Linked DNA regions of Arabidopsis thaliana. The protein of the gene in region 1 interacts with the protein of each later gene in a pairwise test. Each region holds a gene or a part of one and is shown on either strand. Other genes may lie near its edges.

Region 1 (5,588 bases):
CTTGCGTGCGTAAAGGGTTACTAACGGTTTGAAACTGAGGCATGGTTATGAGTGTAGGTAAGACATGGAACTGAACAAGCTGAACTTTTTGTTGGTCAGACAATGAGTTTAAGGTTCCGGATTTGAGGCTGTTGAAGGCGTTATCAGTCGGGGCAAACACGGTTAAGCCATTACTCGAGGAAGAATTGAGCTGAGTGTTGATTTGGTCTGAGGCTTGAGTGCTTTTAAGAAGTCTTATGAACAATGTGAATTGACCAGCCTTTTCTAGGATTGCGGTTATGTTCGTTGGACCTGAAGGGCCTGGAGCTGGAGCCTGACCATAAGTAGTGGCTATAACGAGGAAGAAGATGAAGAGATTAGAGAAAATGAATGTTCTTGAAGTAGCCATTGTTGTAGTTGTTGTGTGTGTATGTTGAGATGTTTTGGGGTTTGTTATATAGAGAGAGATGTAGTTTGGTGAAGAGTAGGATTCTCTTACTAGTGTGAAGATTATTACTAGGTAACTAAATGAGATTCTATCAACTAAGTCATTAGAGATTGGAAATGTTTCTTTTAGGTTTAATAAAGTTTGTTTGAATTGAGAAAGAGAGAGGAGAGACATTGCTTTGAAGGGAGAGTTTGGGTGGGTGAGGATTGAAAATGAAAAATGAACTGAAAAAGGTGTTATAGTGACCTGTCAAAAAAGCTGTGAAGAAGTGTTATCCAAGAAATATGGATTGCTAATCATACTACTGTTCATTATGATTTTATGTGTCATGTGTGTGCCTATCATCATTCCTTATATTTTAGTTGGCAAAAAAAAAAAGACTTGGAAGTATTGAAAACCAAATCTGATCTCAACCTAGACAAGTCGATTAAAGCTAAACCGAAAACCGAATCCCGACCGGTTAATTGAAAACCGATCCAACCCTTTAGGGACTCTAGCTTCACTCAAAAGATCTACGCTGCTGTCAAACCACCTGAGTACTTGCTGGCTCTTCTGGCAGGTGGGAATTGCTTCTCCTCCATTTCAAATACTCGTTAATAGCTGTTGTGCCGGTCATGGTGAGTCCAAATCCGATCATAGTGGCTAAGACAATGCACATTACCGGCTGCTTCACCTACACACAAGTTAATGAGAGAGAGTGTGAGGAATCAAAAACTCTTCAACAAAGTAAGGTTTCTCTGTGACAACAAAGTAAGGTTTCTCTGTGACATTACATCAAATCTTACAACTCTGTAGAAAAGCTGAGCGAAAAGGACCACAAAACCGAACTGAACGGTGGCGTAGATCCATACATAGTTCTTCTTCACTGCAACAAACCAAACCACTTAAGACTGATGATCAATATAGAATACGAAAAAATATATAATTTCGAAGTAGCTTCTTTATTACCCATTGTTGTTGATATCATTGATGCAAGAAGACCGATAATGCAAGAGAACGGTAAAGCTATTGCAACGGCGCTAGATTTCATATCTATAATCAGAAGCTGTTCAAGGAAACAGAAGTATGCAAGCATGCTTACAATGACAAGAATTGGAATATCTTGCCATACATTATTGAACCGTGAAATCTCGATATCCCTGGCTGCTCTAGAACGGTTTTGAGAATCCTGCACACGTAGAAGGGTAACCGGGAGATTTCTCACCTCTTGCTTACACACATCACATGTTATGTTCCCTTTAATTGTAAACCATTTGATAGTGCACGTTTTGTGGGCAAGAGCTAGTTCCCCTTTGCACATACATTCCATCTTAAAAGCTTCTTCATCTTCTTCCATTTCAACCATACAGATTCTACACACAGCTTCTTCTTCAGGAACATCTTCTCCACCATCATCATTTTCATCTGAACACATATCACATAGTTTGTTACATAGAGTCAAAATATGGCATCACAAAGATATGTCTGGGAAGGTGATTTGTAACCGTGGAGTTTACTCAATTTCGATGCCTGCGTCATCTCTAGTCTCTTCTCATCCCCACGAGACGGAGTAGGAATCACGCGGAAAACACTTGACGGCTTTACACTTCCATCTTTGTTGAAGAATGTGGGGACAGAGCGTGTACGACGAATAGGCAGTAAACGCTCCCCTTTCTAGTAAAAAGAACAGTAAAATCAAGTAAAGCAGAAGATAAACAGCTTCTCTAAAGCTAAGACAAATGGAAAATGAATCAATTCATCAACTGAAATACTCAACAAGATAATCTCCCTTATTAATGGTATAACCAAGTTTTGTAAGATAGAATACTGACCATGGATGTAACCGGATCAACCTCAACGGCATACCTCCCGTTCATGGACTCAGGGTTTGAGTGAGTTATAAAAGACTCTGTCTTCTTAGATTTTCTAGGAGCTAAGAGATTAGTGAGAGACCATGTTCTTGGAATATAAGACTTATCACTACCATCTCCTAAAGGGGACACAACACCTTCCTCAATATCTGCACTGTGGTTCCTGTTTTTGAAATTCTTCTGATTCGTTCTGTTTCTTGACGAGGAAGGACTCATTGATCCAACACGTCTCCCAGTTCTAGGGCTGGACATTGGAGAAAACTTGAACCTTTTGGAAACGGGGCTATGAATTAAGGAACCATTTGCTCTCAAGAAATCGCCATGAGCTTCTCTCGATTGTATATCTAACACAAGGCCTCGCCATCGTTGATGTTGGCTCGGTGATAGCATTTCTGTTATCTCAGTAGAATCTCCAACCTGGAAAACTCAAAAGAAGACTTTTGTATCAGTTCCTCACAAAGTTGGATCCTTGAAAACTCATGTTCCTCAATGAGCAATTACAATCCCTAGATTTTCACAAAAATGTGTGCCTTAAACCTGGAATCTCCGGAAAACATAATTGAAGCAGTTCCATGATTTACAAGTGACAATTCAACAAGTACTAATGATCAAAACAATCCCTTAAACCCTGATCTTATAACCCTAAACTCTCAAGAGCTAAGCTAAATCAGAAAGAAAGAAAAAGAAGATCAATTTTGAGATACCCATGAACTAAAAACCACTGAAATTAGCTTAAAGCATGAATCTTTCAGGAAAAATTCAAAATTTTGGGAATTGAGTTAAGACTTAAGAGTGAGAAAACTCACCATTAGAGCTGGAGAAGTACCTTCGCAAGACCAATGTTCTACTACTTCGCGATATTTATCTTTATCATCCATCACCATCAAATTACAAAACCCAGAAACAGTGAAGTAAAAGAAGAATCTCAGGAAAACAAAGTATCAATCTTTGGGATTAATTTGCTTAAAAGGACTAATTTTTAGGAGAAATGATAATCTGAGAAAGAAGCTTTTGATCAAGAACACTCATATAGGTTGCTTCAATTTTGTGTGCTTACTCAGTGCCTGCCCCGTTTCTCTCAACTAAAGAAGTAAATTGGATTCGGCGGTTTTTATTTTTATTGTTTTGTCTCTATTACTTACTTAAGTAATAACCTCTTTTTTTTTTCTAATTTTGGTATATATCTTTAACCAGTGGTGCATATAATTTTGAATCAAAATTTCCAGCTTACATGTCAAATAAAAATTGTCTTCAACATTCTTGTGAAAGAAGAAAAAGAAAATCATGTTTCTATTCAAAAATTTGAATGCATCAAATGTGTAAAGCAATAGTAAGAAGGTAATCAAGTATGGCAGCCCACTCAAATGTATGTACAGATTACAGATATTCATAACATTTTAAAAAATGATTCAAAAATGGTTTATGGATATTATCTGAACTTCTGCTGAATGTTTTAGAACATTTCACAAATAGGTTATGTGTATTTCTGATCATATTTGGAACAAAATCTGATTAAACAAAAAAAAGAAACAATGAATTTTTTAAAAACAAAATCTGAACATATTTATAACAGAAAAAGAGATTAGGAAAAAAATATTATGTATGAAAATTTTGTTGGAAGAAAAATACAGATTGTCTTTACTTATTTAGATGTGCAATGCTGAGTTTATCTTATACTGCTTTTGAAAGATAAAACAACAAAAAAAATACTTTTGTAATTTATTTATTAATTGGGAAAAAGGAGAAAAAGTATAACATTTCGAGAGAAAGAAGTAAATAACATTGAGAGTGATAAACCTTTGGACAACAATTTAAAATTCTGTCGAGATAAGAACGACTCATAACGCAAAATATGGTAGTTACGCTGACACAAACAAAGAAATAATGGATAAGGCAAAATGTAACACGCATCACACCTAAGTAGGATCGATGTCTCAACAAACACATGTACAAGTGTACATCAAACCGACTAAATGTATAGATTATGTTTATGATATGAATGACTATAAGATGGTTAACAATGTGAATTTTTTTTCACGAAACTATATCAACGACGTGTCGAAAGAGCATGTAATCTTACAAATCTGATAGCATTTTTAGTGCTATACTCTGAAGGCTGAAGCACATGAAAGATGAAATGAAATCATGCTTGACAGAAAATGGGACGGTGACGATATCAAAAGCAAAAAAATAATTGTGGAAGGCCCAACTCGGCCCAACTTAGCCAAAACTGTGTGGCCACCACTCGACTCGTGTTCGATCCAAAACATAATAGGTTTACATTTTACAAATTTTCAGAGTTTTTTTTTGCTAACTTAAAAAAAAAAAAAAAAGAGAGTTTATCTATGCTAGGTTGGATGATTAATATGATTAGCGTACAATATTATTTCTTTTTTACAACCATTCAAAAAAATTAGTTTCCTAAAAACTTTTTAAGAAAATTAAAACAGAAACTACTTGGGATCAACACGTATGTGTTCACCACCCACACGGATATGGACACTGTGTAGGGACAACAGCCAAATTCAACATCAAATAATTATTTCGAAGGCACAGACAATAAGTGGGAGCCACTCGTTTTTGTCAAAAATATTGAATAACAAATTAGCGATATAAACAATTCTCACTTATTCTGTTTAAAAAAACGATTATTGGTAGTTTGGTACTACTACTCAATAATCATAGAAGACCATGAAAACGAAATCCACGTAGTATGTGTATAATCACAAACGGTCAAACATTTAACATTAGCATAAATTCTTGTCACGTGGCAATATTGTGGCGGTAGAATTTTAACATTGTGGTTAGCTTCACCATTAAATCTGTTAAAAGCGCTTCCTCACTCACTCTTCTTCCCCAAAAAAAAAACAAGACAGAGGAAGAGAATCACGAAACCATAGTCCCAAACCCTTCGAATCTATAAGCATTTCTCAAACACAATCAAGAAACTGTGTTTAGCTTTTAGATTTCTACAAGCATGTAAGACGAGATTTTGTTTCTTTTTTTTCTGCATGGTGGATCGAACGGTGAGAATGGGGACGGAGGTGAAGTCGATTAGGGTTCCAAGAAGGGTCTGGTTTGGATCACAAATATCTATAGTTCTCCTCGTGGGTGGAAACCATACCTCCTCCAGGTTTTGTACTCGCTAGATTCTTCGATTTTCTCTTTGCGATTCTTCTTTGTTCTTAAGATCTGTTTAGCAAATCGTACTAGACATTAATCATATTTTAAGATTCCATCGGAGCTGAAGTATTTGAAGAAATCAATGGGTATAAAGATCTTGAAGCTTAATATCTTCCGTGGATCTACGA
Region 2 (4,035 bases), on another chromosome or scaffold:
TTCAGACAAACCCTCTCCTCCAACCAAAGGTCGTAAGGAGTGAAGTTAGCTATTGGTAATCTAACTCAAGACTCCTGCAACAATAGCTCCAAGTTGTCTCCAGCATTCTACAAAAGAGCCATCGCCACCTCTGTTTTCTTTTTTTTTTTCTTTCTGACTGTATTATGAAGAGATAGGATCTTTGATGTGTTGTGTTAATATGGACAAGTCTGGTCTTTGCCCTTTTTCTTGATAGAATCGTAGATGGGTTTGTAAATTTTTGCATTTTATTTTTCTCCTTTAAAACCACAAGGATTTTGTTAACGAAGTGGTGTATTCATATTTCAAAGGTACATTTGCAACACCATTGATTCTTTATTCCAATTCTTATCTACGTGTGTGTGTGAATGAAACTTGAAACCAATACAAGTCACTAATGCTCTCAGATTATGTAATTGGGCTTTACTGGGCCGTTTATAAAATTGGGCTAGAAAAAGGGAGACAGCAGACGACAAGAGCATCCTTGTTCTCTTTAAACCCTAAATTACAAGCAAATCACCAACAGAGAGAGTAATGGCGAAAAATTCTGGTAGCTCGTTTGAAGCAGAGAAATCAGAGGGAAAGTGTGTTACGACGACTACTGAAGCACAAGTAATTCAAAATTCTGGCTGATGAATTATGTATTTGATTTTACGTATTTGTAATTCACTAATTCTCACTGATTCATACAATTTGTGTCGTAAATGAACAGCAAAGTAGTCAACCTGTTTTGAGCAAGGAAGAGGAGAAAGTGAGAGATAGCTACTTGTTCTGCTGTGAAAATTTCTACACTCTTCCTGAGATGATCAATTTCATGAAGGAGATTCATGGTGTAGAACAAACCACTGTGACAAAGGTTTTCAGGGAACTTTTAAAAGGTAGAAAAGCTGAAGCATATCTCAGAGAATCTCAGAAAAGAATGAAGGCAAGAACAACAACAACAACTTGAACAGAGGAGGATGAGGCTTAGGTTGCTCTAATTTGAAATTCTTTGGTTTGGTTTACTGGTTAGTAAGAAATAGACTTGTATTGTCACATTTTTTTATCATATTTTGAGGTCCATTGCTTTGGGTGTATGGACCAGACTAGGACAAATGAATAGGAGATGCAAAAGGGTAATAATGGAGAAGTCAGTCTTGTTGGTCTATTCTTGTCCGAGTCCATGATTTTTAGAGGGAGAACTAGAAGGAGGAACTAAAAGTTGTTTAGGTTAATGGTTTAGGTGCTAAGTGTTGGCTCTGTGTGTTACTTATGACTCGTGGGATCTAATGTCTTGTGAAAAATCACTTGTGAGATAAAATGGACATAGTCTAGAGAAGAAGGTATATAAGAAGAAAAGCAGTCAACTTAACTACAAAATCACAACGGCTCACAACTGTTTTATGTTGTAGAAGTTGGTTGCTTCTTAGAGTGGTTCATTCTTCATTACCAGCTAACCGCAAATAACCGTGACTTGAAGTCTTTCGAATTACACTTCTTTCACTCGTGGTTCAAACTTCTTCTGTTCAAGTTGTTATGCCTTCTCCAGCCATTACTTGATTTCAAAATGGTGTTGATGGTCTCATTCTTGAAGGCTTGGATGTTTCTCAACTTTTTGCTCTTGAACAAGAGCCAAGAGGTGATGGGACTCCGTAGTACAAACACAATTTAAGAACGTTTGAGTAAGAGTTTTGATTCACATTGAAAAAAAAACTTAGAAGAAAAAATGAACCAAACTAAAATAATCAAATTAATTTAGTTTATTAATCAAGAATTAAATCAAGTTTTAATAATAACCTGAATTGTAGATTTTTTTTCTTTTCTTAATAGTCGAATACTGAACACTGTAGTATTAAATGAAAACTCAAAGCCCAATATAATTCAAAGCCCATCGAATCAAATATCTGGCCACTCCACTTATTCTTAACTTGAAACTTAAAAGCCGAAATCGTAAAGAGAGAATCTGGTCGGAATAATCCACTCGAATCTTAAAACGACGTCGGTTTAACCAAATGCGAGTCAACGGATGCTGCTGCAATGCGTCGTGTTGTGTTCGTCACTCGCCGTCGTCGTCATCTCCGTCGCTTCGACCTCTCCCCTCGTTGGTGTTCACCCTTTAGGTTACTTCTTCGATGACTCTTATCTTTATTATATCGACAAATCTGAAAAATGTTCTTGTTCTCTGATTCTTACTTACTTCTTTGTTGTGAGGCAGATGAAAAGTATTTCGACTCAGATGTTATCAAATGCAAAGATGGCTCCAAATCTTTCACAAGAGATCGTCTCAACGACAACTTCTGCGATTGTCTCGACGGCACCGATGAGCCTGGTACACACTTTTTTCTCAATTTAGAATCCAGAGAGCTGAGATGACATGAGACTTTAAATTCTTTCCAGATAAAAAGATTTAGGACTAGAATTGATCGAATCTTATTCTCTTTCACAATTTCAATTATGAAAAATGTGTTCTTGTGAGTAAGTTTCTGAATTTCTGATTTTGCATTACAGGAACTTCGGCATGTCCAAATGGCAAATTTTACTGTAGGAACATTGGAAGTTCTCCAAAGTTCGTTTACTCTTCTCGTGTGAATGATCGAATCTGTGGTCAGTAGTTACTAATGTTCTGAATTCGACTAAATGATTCTCGTTTCAGCTGTCTCTTGCTGTATGCTAGTAATCTACATGTTTTTGTTGGATTGGATAAGCAGCATGACATTGTCTGTTTCTCAGATTGCTGCGATGGAAGCGACGAGTACGAAAGTAGCATTCATTGTCCCAACACTTGTATAATGGGTGGTAACGTTAACTACATCTACAAACCTAGAGCCAACCTTAAATCTATACACTTGCAACTCGGTTCAACGCCTCATCCAAAGGAGTTTTATACTATAGGAAATCTTCAGGACATGGTCAAGAATCTACAAGGTTTTGCAACTTTTCTTGGGAAGCTTATTTGTTTTGTTTGATTGTCTAGCAAACTGATACAAAAACAATTGTTGTTGTTGTTGTTTCCAGGTATGAAGCTTGTTTTCGCTCTTCAGATGGTTTTTATCGGTTTCTTAGTGATCTTATGGATGCTTAGGAGTCGTGCTCGGTCTAAGAGACGACGCTATCTGCTGAAGAATGTACCTCCCATTAATAGATCAGCTAACTAACTCCCTGGAACTTGTATTATACTTTTGTGAAGCTTTTACGTGGAACCTGAGTGTTAAAGCCACATATGTCAAGTGTCATTACTAGCTATACTTATTCAGTGTGAGATTGTTTGTTCCTAGTTACATAATTGTCTTGGTCTTCATGTTTATTAAGCCTTCAGATCCTCAGACCATAGTAGGTACCGATGAGTCTTATCACAAGTAAGATAGTCACATGATCTGCAGATTTTCTAGAAAATGGATGGATTCACAATTTGAATGATCTCATGGTGAATTATTCGACTGATATAAGGTTTTATGAAAATGAACTCTTGTTTGTTTCTCACAGACAAAATCAATATACAAAAAACATTACAAGCCATTGAAGAGAAGAGAGAAATTTACAGTTAAAAAATCCTGAAAAAATGATTTGTAAACTCAAGATTGGAAACATCCACAAGTTGCCTTTGGAACAATTCTAATGGCCCAGTATTTTAGCAGCCGTTTCTTCTTGCTTCTCCACGCTTACCTTCAATCATTGCACTTCTTTCTTCTGCTTCCTTGTGAGTCACTGAAACCTAATTCATCCTCTCTGCATACTCCTGCTTTCTTCTTCTCTAGTTCCTCCTGCAGTGAAACAAATTCACAAACACTTCACTTCTCATTGTTCTCAATCACATTGAAACAGTATCAGCTCTCTATTGCTAAGTTTATTTTACCTCCATTTTCTTGAGTTGCACTTCGACAGCTGCTTTCTTCACTTCTCAACGGAAAACTAGTCACATAGTTTAGTTTAAGGTCACCTCTAACGAGTGAAGCAGACCAAGATTTCGCCAGTGCAGATTCTGTAAGAATTTTCATTCTACTAAAACATAAACAGCAATATGCCAAGCCTTAACACAAA
Region 3 (4,836 bases), on another chromosome or scaffold:
TAGCAGATGTTACAGAAAAAAAGAAGGAAAAGTTTGGTTGCTATTTTCCAAAACTTAAAAGTCCCCAATTCAGAGTTAATCCTAATTCCTATATATATATATATCTTTCTCTCTTCTATAACTACATATGTGTTTAACCAAGTTATGTTCATTTCTCCTAGCTAGAACCAGGTAAAATTTGTTTTATTGAAATAATCTATACAATTAATTGGTAATGAGTAATGCCAGAATCTTACAAAAAAAATGATGGCAAAATATAACAGTTTTTAATGCTAAACAAAATAAGAAGGATCAACCGATAAAGAAAAAGAAATAACGTACTATAATCAATGCTTCTTAAGCATGTGATTAGCTTTTAGTATCCTTTTAATCCTACTATATTATTTGGGAAATACATTTTAAATGTAACCTTAATTTTTGTAATTAATTACATGACAATACCATTAGAAAAATTTAATCAAAAACAAAATCTTTTAATGACATCATTAAGGTTACCAAAATCATTTAACGACAATATTCATTTCTTAATTATAGGGCTTGTTGAATCTAAAGACGGGTCATCAAAGATTTTCTAAACTAAAGCAAAATATACCGAATATTCAAATATCTTTCTGTTACCAAATTATAAACAAATAAGTTCGTAAAACAATTTAATATTTTATATACGAAATCAATAAATCTTAATCACATAAAAATTTGTACAAAAAAAAAGTATTCAACAATTAAAAATTTATCAAATCTCTGTGTTATATAAGTTTTGATATTATATTCGAATAAAGTGTAATATACCTTTTTAATTTGTATTCTTTAACTAATTTAAGCTAACTAATATATTTGCTAATCTTATACCTATTAAAACCGACTATCGTTTCTTATCTCTATAGTATTTTTGCAAGATTTTTTTGGTGGATTTGGATAAAAGTGCATTCGGGTCATATGGTACATTCCCCTATTAAATAAATATGGTGCACTCCTATGTTATTAGCTAAAATGTTTAGAATTCAGAGTCATATCATAAATAAAATTAATATGAATAAAATAAATGGCTTTTTGGCAAGACGGATTTAGAAGGACGGGTTTTTGAATCAACATTAATAAAAAAGTAAAATATAATTAATCCACCGTTTCAATACGGGTAAAATCTTTAATTTATTATTTTTTAAGACCACTAATATTAAACATATCAAATTATCCTAATTTAGAAAATATTATATAAAACCAAAAATGTTATGTGATATGTATAATGTTACTATATATAAAATTAAACTATAAAATATAAATGTATTAGAGAATGATACAATTTGCAAAACTTTTATATATAATAAATAATTCTTAAATTTTAAAAATTACGACTTAAAAAAAAACTCACGGGACGGGTAAAGAAATTACAGAACGAGTTTTATTTTGGAATTCGGTTATATGGTGGATGTATTTGAATCAATATTTATAAAATTATAAAATATTATTAATATGCTGTTTTAATAAGGGTTAAAACTTCAGTTTTTTAACAATTGTCTTATAGATTCGTGGCATAGCGTTACTTAATAACAATTATAAACCGTAAAATATAAATATTTTATAAAAATAAAATTTGCAAGTTTTAATATATATTACCTTTAAAAAATTAATCGTCTCGCGGTATACCACGGGTTAAAATCTAATACATTTGTAAAAGCGATAAATATGAAACGATTTAGAAAAGTCATGTGGATTAGATGGATATATCATGTGAGCCCCTCTTCTTTCCCTCTCTTCAGTCTTCAAACCAAAAAACGAAAGAGACAAAAATACAAAATTGAAACTTTGAAAATATTGAAAGAAAAGTGAAAAAAAAGAGAGTTTAGTTTTTTTAATCATATGGGGTTTATATAGTTTATTACCACACTTCCTCATGTTAATCACTTCATTTATCTCTCTATTATCTCTCTCACAATCTCTCTGGTTTTTGGGCGTTTCTTCGTTGAAAGTTGTTTGCTTTTGGTGAGTTAGAATGGCTTCGAGTGCTTCAAAATTCATCAAATGTGTGACTGTTGGAGATGGTGCCGTTGGAAAAACTTGTATGCTCATCTGCTACACTAGCAACAAATTCCCTACTGTAAGTTTAAAATTTGATCAAGTAAATCACAGTTTCGCTGATTTTTCATCAAATTGTTCTTTCGGGCATCTCCAATTTCGTCACTTTTAGTTGAATATACTTCTGGGTCTGTCAAATTTCAACTCTTTCACCGAGAATTTTAGCATGGTATTTCAAAGTTAGCTCCTTTTTTAGGGATTGTGCAAAAATAATCCTTTTTTGGAGATTCTGAAAAATCTTACATTGTAAAGTTAGTGGCTTTCTTGATTCACCAGTGTTTCCTCTTACTCTATTGCGCATTTGTTGTTCTCGTGAAGTTAAAGATTTGCTTGATGGATTGTATCAGGACTACATACCAACAGTTTTTGACAACTTTAGTGTTAATGTTGTGGTTGAAGGCATCACTGTGAACTTAGGCCTTTGGGACACTGCCGGTAAGTAACATTTCTGTATCCCTCTCTTGAATATCTCAGAATAACCAAGTTCACTAATGTTATGTGGTTCTAATCTTTCTAACATCTAGCAAGTTTGCTTTTGATTTGGGATTCTTAGATAGAGAACTTTATAGGGAGTGTTGAAGATTAGTGACTGTTAAGAGTTTTATGATTATGAGTACCCTTTCATGTTTGCAGGGCAAGAAGACTATAACAGACTAAGGCCTTTAAGTTACAGAGGAGCAGATGTTTTTGTGTTGGCTTTCTCATTGATCAGCCGAGCTAGCTATGAGAATGTGTTTAAAAAGGTTTGTGGAAATTGGATTCATTGTATTTCTTACTGGGAAAACAAAGAATGAAATGTGAATTTCTGATGTTTTTGAAGCGTTTATTTTGTTCAGTGGATCCCTGAACTCCAACACTTTGCACCAGGAGTCCCCATTGTGCTTGTTGGTACCAAAATGGGTAAGATAGCTATAAGAGTGGAGCCAACATATTTCCTTGTGTAATGCTTGAGAATCACATATATGTAATGTTTCTTACAATGTTCCGTTATCTAGATCTTCGTGAAGATAGACATTACTTGTCTGATCATCCTGGACTGTCCCCGGTAACTACATCACAGGTGTGCTTTTTCAACCTGTAGAAACCGAAAAGATTGTTGTGACATTCTCTAGACTCTCTCTTCTCTAGGTTTTATATGATTTAATCATTCATGTGTTACAGGGAGAGGAACTCCGCAAGCATATCGGAGCGACTTATTACATTGAATGTAGCTCAAAAACTCAACAGGTACACTTGTTCATGTGTGTTTGGAAACTTAGGAGTCATTAGTGTTAGGTGACTCTTTACTTGCAAACTATATGCTTTTCTTTGGTTCATGGCTTTTGCAGAATGTGAAAGCCGTATTTGATGCTGCTATTAAAGTAGTAATTAAACCAGCAGTGAAACAAAAGGAGAAGAAGAAGAAGCAGAAGCCTCGCAGCGGATGTCTCTCGTAAGTTCAATAATCTTCACTCTTTTTAATATATAACTAAGAAATTATGTAATACTAGAATTTGGTTATGCAACCTTTAGCTTCTTCATACAGTTTTGTTTGTTTGTGTAATGATTATAGATTGGCTTCTCTATTGTGCAGAAACATTCTGTGTGGGAAGAATTGATGAGTCAATTCCATCTGATGATTGTTCACTTCTTTTTTTTTCTTTTCTTTTCTAATTGGCCAGTTTGTGATTCTGATAAGTCGGAATTACATAGACTCTGGCAGAGATGAGCCTCAATTAGTAGCTTCTTCGATTCTGTTTGTATATGTGACCCTGATGTTTGTTTGTTTCGATTTGGTTTGACCCTTATAGAATTGTTATAGCCATTTTGTAGCCAAAACTTGGAGTAGTTCACGACTTAACGTGGTTAACACTTGCTTCTTTCGAAAAAAGGTGAATCCTTAATCACATATTCGAATTTATTTGGTCCTATTATGAGATCCAAGACCAAACGACAAAAGCGTGACAAGTAAGAAGAAGCCTGTAAATTTCAAACAGAACCAGCACAAGAAGTAATAAATCTACAAACTGGAAAAAGAAAGATAAAAAGAAGTAACTAATCTTGTGTCTATAATACAACCCCCATCACCTAACGCACACATGTAAAGCCACAATGCGAAAGACTTTTTTTTTTATCATTTTGAACACACTCAAAAGCCACCAACATTTGTTTTATCGCTAGTTTTTTGAGCCGGTGTATAGAGATACACACATGCATGAAAAATGACCTAAAAGTGTGTTTTCACCTTTTAAAACTCTTTGTGGGGAGGTGGTGATGCGGGTCTCTCGCTGAGAACCTTGTTGATGACTCTTCTGAAAGAGAATGGCCACTCCGGTGAATTTAGGACTGTTTTTGGAAGATCTACATGATGGTGAAACCAAGAGGTCAGGTTTGTGTTCTTAAAAAGGTTGAGACCACTGTGAAGTCGCAAATTGACTCACCCATGCCTCATTTGTACAGAGCAGGCCAGCCAATGAAGCCTTGTGGCATCACATTCACTCTCATCTCTTAGTAACTAGCAGAGTAAAAATGTAACTGAAACATTAGTAAGAGAGAGAAAAACAAAAAGAGAGGTCATAAAACACTAAGGTTTGTGGATTTCGAGGGCTTACAAGCTCATGTGGCCTACTGAGATTCTGAGCTACTGTTATTGCCATGAGGACTGCCTATATCCATCCCATCCTCCTTCCGGTTCTTTCCTCTTCAGAACACCACCTGACATTTGATACATTCTTGCTTGATCCTCCTTCAAAGGTAAGGAAGCAGATGAGGATAATTGCCTTG
Region 4 (4,053 bases), on another chromosome or scaffold:
ACTACCTTACAAGCGTATATGATGAAGGTGATGCAAGATCAACCCTGATAAAAATGGTCCAGGCTTTGAACCATGCCAAACATGGAGTTGATATTCTATCCGGAACACGGGTAAGAATTGATGCAGGGCATATAACCAGAAACTATTTGCCAATATTACCTATAACTGACAAAATAACATCATTCAAACAGGTGAGAACACATTTTGCAAGGCCCAACTGGAAGGAAGTCTTCAGTAGCATAGCAAGAAAGCATCCAAATTCGACAGTCGGTAATTATTCTATACAATCAGCTGCTTACCATCAAGACATCTTATAAATCTCTCTTCTAGGACTAACGAATTAATACCATTGGAAAAGAAAGAAAACTTGCAATAGGAATTATGACACATGCAAACACATGAACATGTCTGCTAATATTTAGGCCAGGTATTACGAAGCATATGTGAAAACAATTTATATAATTGTGCAGGAGTGTTTTACTGCGGCATACAAACCGTGGCAAAGGAGTTGAAGAAGCAAGCACAAGACATGAGTCAAAAAACAACCACACGGTTCGAGTTCCATAAGGAGCATTTCTAATTCAATGTTACAAGCCAGCTTCTATCACTTTCCCTAAAGTGAGATTCAAATCCAGCCCGCCATTATTTTTTTTCACACTAACTTCACAGTCACTTAGCAAAGTAGATTATATACACTATGTTAAAAAAGGAAACATTGTCTTGCCTGTTTGTATAGACCCCGCCTAAAGGCATGAAAATAACAAATCTAAGTTACTATACGAAATAATATACGTGTCTTTCCCAAGATGATTCAATCTCTCTTTCCATTACCACAAGCTACTAGTCACAAAGGCAGAGAAGCAAACAACAAATTTTCATTGATAAGGTGCCTCAGCACAGTATATTGGTACTAAAACACATTCAAGGATAAGAATAGAGTAATGCCTTTGTGCTAAGTGTACCAAAACTTGCAGTAGAAGACGAGGTTGGAGTTAATCATCCTTTATTCTTCTCAGTAATTTAGAAGCCCAGCGTCGAACCCGTCTCTTAAGTGTATAACCCACAAACACTCCAGCGACAAAGAAAACAGCGCACAACTTTGAACACGTCCAGACCGAAACTCCGCTGCCACCAAACACAGTCCCAAGATAGGTCAGATAATTTTCTTAAATTAGAACTAATAGTACACAAAACACGTAAAGCCATTACATATTAGTCGAATCAATCAGAAACAACCCAAAGCTCCTACTAGATAGTCTATAATCGACCTGCACAGTTTTGTTCCTCGGGTATCTAAGATCTTAGATCATTTGAACAAGCCATTACAAATTTACAAGCTCTGTGTGATGTGGAACTGGGAAATCATCATGGTCTCTAGGTTTTGAGCTATAACACAAAATCTGCCCTCTTTTTCATTTTTGTTCCATCTTTTTAAAATTTCTCTCAAGCAGGCAGACCAATTCATAATCCATCCACAGAAATAGTGATTATTATTATCATCCTTCCCATAATTAGAGAGAATCTGAAAAATTGGAGACATGCCCTCACTCACTCACCCAAAATTCTTAAAAGTTCTTAGCTTTACTGGCAAAATGATCTCTTTTCGAACAAATATTGAATAGAAGCAGCTTACCTGGGAGGTCTGGTTACCAGAGTGCCGGATCCTGCGTCGTATGTAGTAGTCAAGTTGCCGGCGGCGGCTCGTTTGTCTTGCATCAGATTATCCGCAAAATCAGATAGAGAAGACGACGAAGAAGAAGCTGCCGATTTCGCTTCTTTCACCATCTTGCTGTAAAACTTCTCCAAACCCTCCATTTCTGGCCGATCAATTAGGGTTTAGGGTTCAATGATGATTCCAGTCATGAAGGAAGCGATTGCTAAATTGACTTCTCGTTGACCAAAAGGACAAAATTGGAATTTCATAATTACTAGTTGAAAATAATCCTTGACCAAGGTCATACAATAATACAATATTATTATATAAAATATCATGTACTTTACACATACATTTATTTATTCATTAATTATACATCCATCACACAACAATTCGTAACAATTTCATTTTGTAATATATATTCAATTTAGTTTAAGCAGTCATATCTTCTTTTTCTTCTTGACCGAGTCGGTAATCTTGAGAACCATAAGGACTAAAAGCTTCAAGGAGGAAGTTGGATTTACGCCAAGGATTGAGTCCCATGTCGTTGCACATATCATCAGCATGTTGGATGCTGAACGTGGAAATGCAATGACGTTTGTAGAATCTGCTTGAGTTTCTCGTCACTTCCATTTCTTTTAAGAATTGATCCAACATCTTCTCTTTGCTTGGTAATCTGAATTTCTCATCCACTAGCCGGCTTAGCCACATTGAACGTAGCTCTGATGTGTGTAAGTTCGAGCTGCTTTGGACGTATCCTACGAAACCCATGTTTGGTATCAATGGATGGATTGTTCCCCTGTAAATGATTTAGTTTGTATAAGCAACGGTCCAAATTTCATGAGTATACTAATAAAAGAATATATAGGCTTCCACTTGTACCACTGAATATGTTTATAGTCATAGAACTATATATTATAGCATGATCGTCTTTTTAAGTGTGCAACTAATGCATTTTCACATAATTTCAATTAATCTAAAGACGATTTTTATGTGTATGTACCTGTATAAAGGCATGACACCGCTTGGAAACTCAAGCCAAGTTCGGAAAGGTTCAGGAACAATAGCTTTGAGCTTCTTCTTGCCATCATAACCAGTAGCAAGTATCACAACATCAGCTTCTAATGTCGTCCCATCTTCAAACACAATCCCTTCTTCATAAAACCACCATTTTGATGATTTCTTAAACCGGATCATCCCTTTATCCGCTTCCTCAAAGAAATTCTCCGGTATGATCGCCATTTGACAAGAAGCATAGTCTTCCTCGAAAGAATGGTTTGGTTTTAGACCATATTTCTCAAGAGGTAGCTTCCATAAAACATATGATTCGATGAACTTGGAAACTACGGCACGCTGTTGTCACATATATGTTAAGAAACTTATAAAATTCTCAAGATTTTTGCATATAGAGAAGTGAAAAAGGTAATAAGATGACTAACCAGAAGAGAGAAGAGGAGGCAAAAGAGAGTTCTAAGGAAGCTTTGGTTAGGCCTATCATGGAGGAACTGAGAAGCTCTCGAAGAGTAGAACAAGAAGAATGGTAAGCCCCACACCCAATAATGTGGGATCCCCCAATGAGTTGTTCTCACCACCATTGTGCAAGCTTTTCCTCCTTCCCCTGCAAAATTTAAATATTATATTTAATTATGGGAATCAGATTAAATAAAGATCGAAATCGGTCATCTTAGGATATATATTTAATATGTTGTTTAATTAACTTGCGAGTAACTGTTTAATTGTTGCCAACTAGAACCATATACGTTCCAAGTCCAACCGAAAAGAAATAATATATACTAGTAAGTAAGACAATTATTGCTATCACTATATAGTATATATATTTTATCTTTATTTTGACTTGATCAGCCAATTATTAAGAGTGAAGCTAATTTATATAAATAGACATAGATATCTATGTACCTTGATTAGCTAAAGCAGACTCTAAAGCCAAATCAATGGCGGATTTCTTGAAGCCGATGACGGCTACTTTTTTGCCACTGAGGAGAGTAGAAGCTTCTTCTTTCTCTAACTTGCAGTAATCCATCGAATGCATTACTTTTCCTTGAAACATCTCCGGCCCTTTCTTTGCCGGAAAAGCTGGTATTCTTGGAACGTCGCCGTATTTCCCGGTACACACAACCACGAACTCAAATGCATGCCACTGCACACAAAAACATTGATATACAATATTTCATAAATGATGCATGCAGTAATATGGCAGTTTGAGATCCGGCTTAGGCTTCAAAGTTACCGAAAAACAATCGAGACAAACATTGAGATACGTAAGTTTAAATATGCGTATGCACCATTTGCTCGTGTAAATGCATGCATATGCAAATATATGAGACTGAATTAGCATTAAAGAATTGAGACAAACCTGAATATCTCCAGAATCTCCGATC

The links.
Region 2: the proteins of AT5G03180 (region 1) and AT2G42390 interact in a protein complementation assay, tested with the Arabidopsis thaliana proteins (one large-scale study listed by BioGRID).
Region 3: the proteins of AT5G03180 (region 1) and ROP10 interact in a protein complementation assay, tested with the Arabidopsis thaliana proteins (one large-scale study listed by BioGRID).
Region 4: the proteins of AT5G03180 (region 1) and AT1G19240 interact in a protein complementation assay, tested with the Arabidopsis thaliana proteins (one large-scale study listed by BioGRID).

Annotation. Positions count from the first base shown.
Region 1 is NC_003076.8:753,251-758,838, forward strand, and holds AT5G03180 (RING/U-box superfamily protein), read right to left. Parts: upstream 3,384-5,588; 5' UTR 3,162-3,383; coding exon 3,084-3,161; intron 2,695-3,083; coding exon 2,239-2,694; intron 2,081-2,238; coding exon 1,912-2,080; intron 1,832-1,911; coding exon 1,376-1,831; coding exon of another isoform or gene 1,293-1,375; coding exon 1,201-1,292; intron 1,101-1,200; coding exon 951-1,100; 3' UTR 590-950; downstream 1-589. Other genes in the region: FLA11 (FASCICLIN-like arabinogalactan-protein 11), read right to left, coding at 1-388; CPUORF47 (peptide upstream protein), read left to right, coding at 5,289-5,410.
Region 2 is NC_003071.7:17,650,498-17,654,532, reverse strand, and holds AT2G42390 (kinase C substrate, heavy chain-like protein), read left to right. Parts: upstream 1-1,889; 5' UTR 1,890-2,023; coding exon 2,024-2,117; intron 2,118-2,212; coding exon 2,213-2,326; intron 2,327-2,505; coding exon 2,506-2,601; intron 2,602-2,727; coding exon 2,728-2,922; intron 2,923-3,012; coding exon 3,013-3,152; 3' UTR 3,153-3,427; downstream 3,428-4,035. Other genes in the region: VOZ2 (vascular plant one zinc finger protein 2), read left to right, coding at 1-43; AT2G42395 (uncharacterized protein), read left to right, coding at 553-630, 731-967.
Region 3 is NC_003074.8:17,729,571-17,734,406, forward strand, and holds ROP10 (RHO-related protein from plants 10), read left to right. Parts: upstream 1-1,766; 5' UTR 1,767-1,990; coding exon 1,991-2,095; intron 2,096-2,420; coding exon 2,421-2,508; intron 2,509-2,706; coding exon 2,707-2,816; intron 2,817-2,909; coding exon 2,910-2,973; intron 2,974-3,068; coding exon 3,069-3,133; intron 3,134-3,234; coding exon 3,235-3,300; coding exon of another isoform or gene 3,301-3,342; exon of another isoform or gene 3,343-3,401; coding exon 3,402-3,505; intron 3,506-3,646; coding exon 3,647-3,671; 3' UTR 3,672-3,943; downstream 3,944-4,836. Other genes in the region: protein SUO, read right to left, coding at 4,700-4,836. UniProt on the Arabidopsis thaliana protein: Acts as a negative regulator of abscisic acid (ABA) responses.
Region 4 is NC_003070.9:6,648,570-6,652,622, forward strand, and holds AT1G19240 (uncharacterized protein), read right to left. Parts: upstream 1,878-4,053; 5' UTR 1,816-1,877; coding exon 1,634-1,815; intron 1,126-1,633; coding exon 993-1,125; 3' UTR 674-992; downstream 1-673. Other genes in the region: AT1G19230 (Riboflavin synthase-like superfamily protein), read left to right, coding at 1-110, 192-270, 471-580; FMO1 (flavin-dependent monooxygenase 1), read right to left, coding at 2,087-2,453, 2,658-3,007, 3,094-3,272, 3,572-3,812, 4,029-4,053.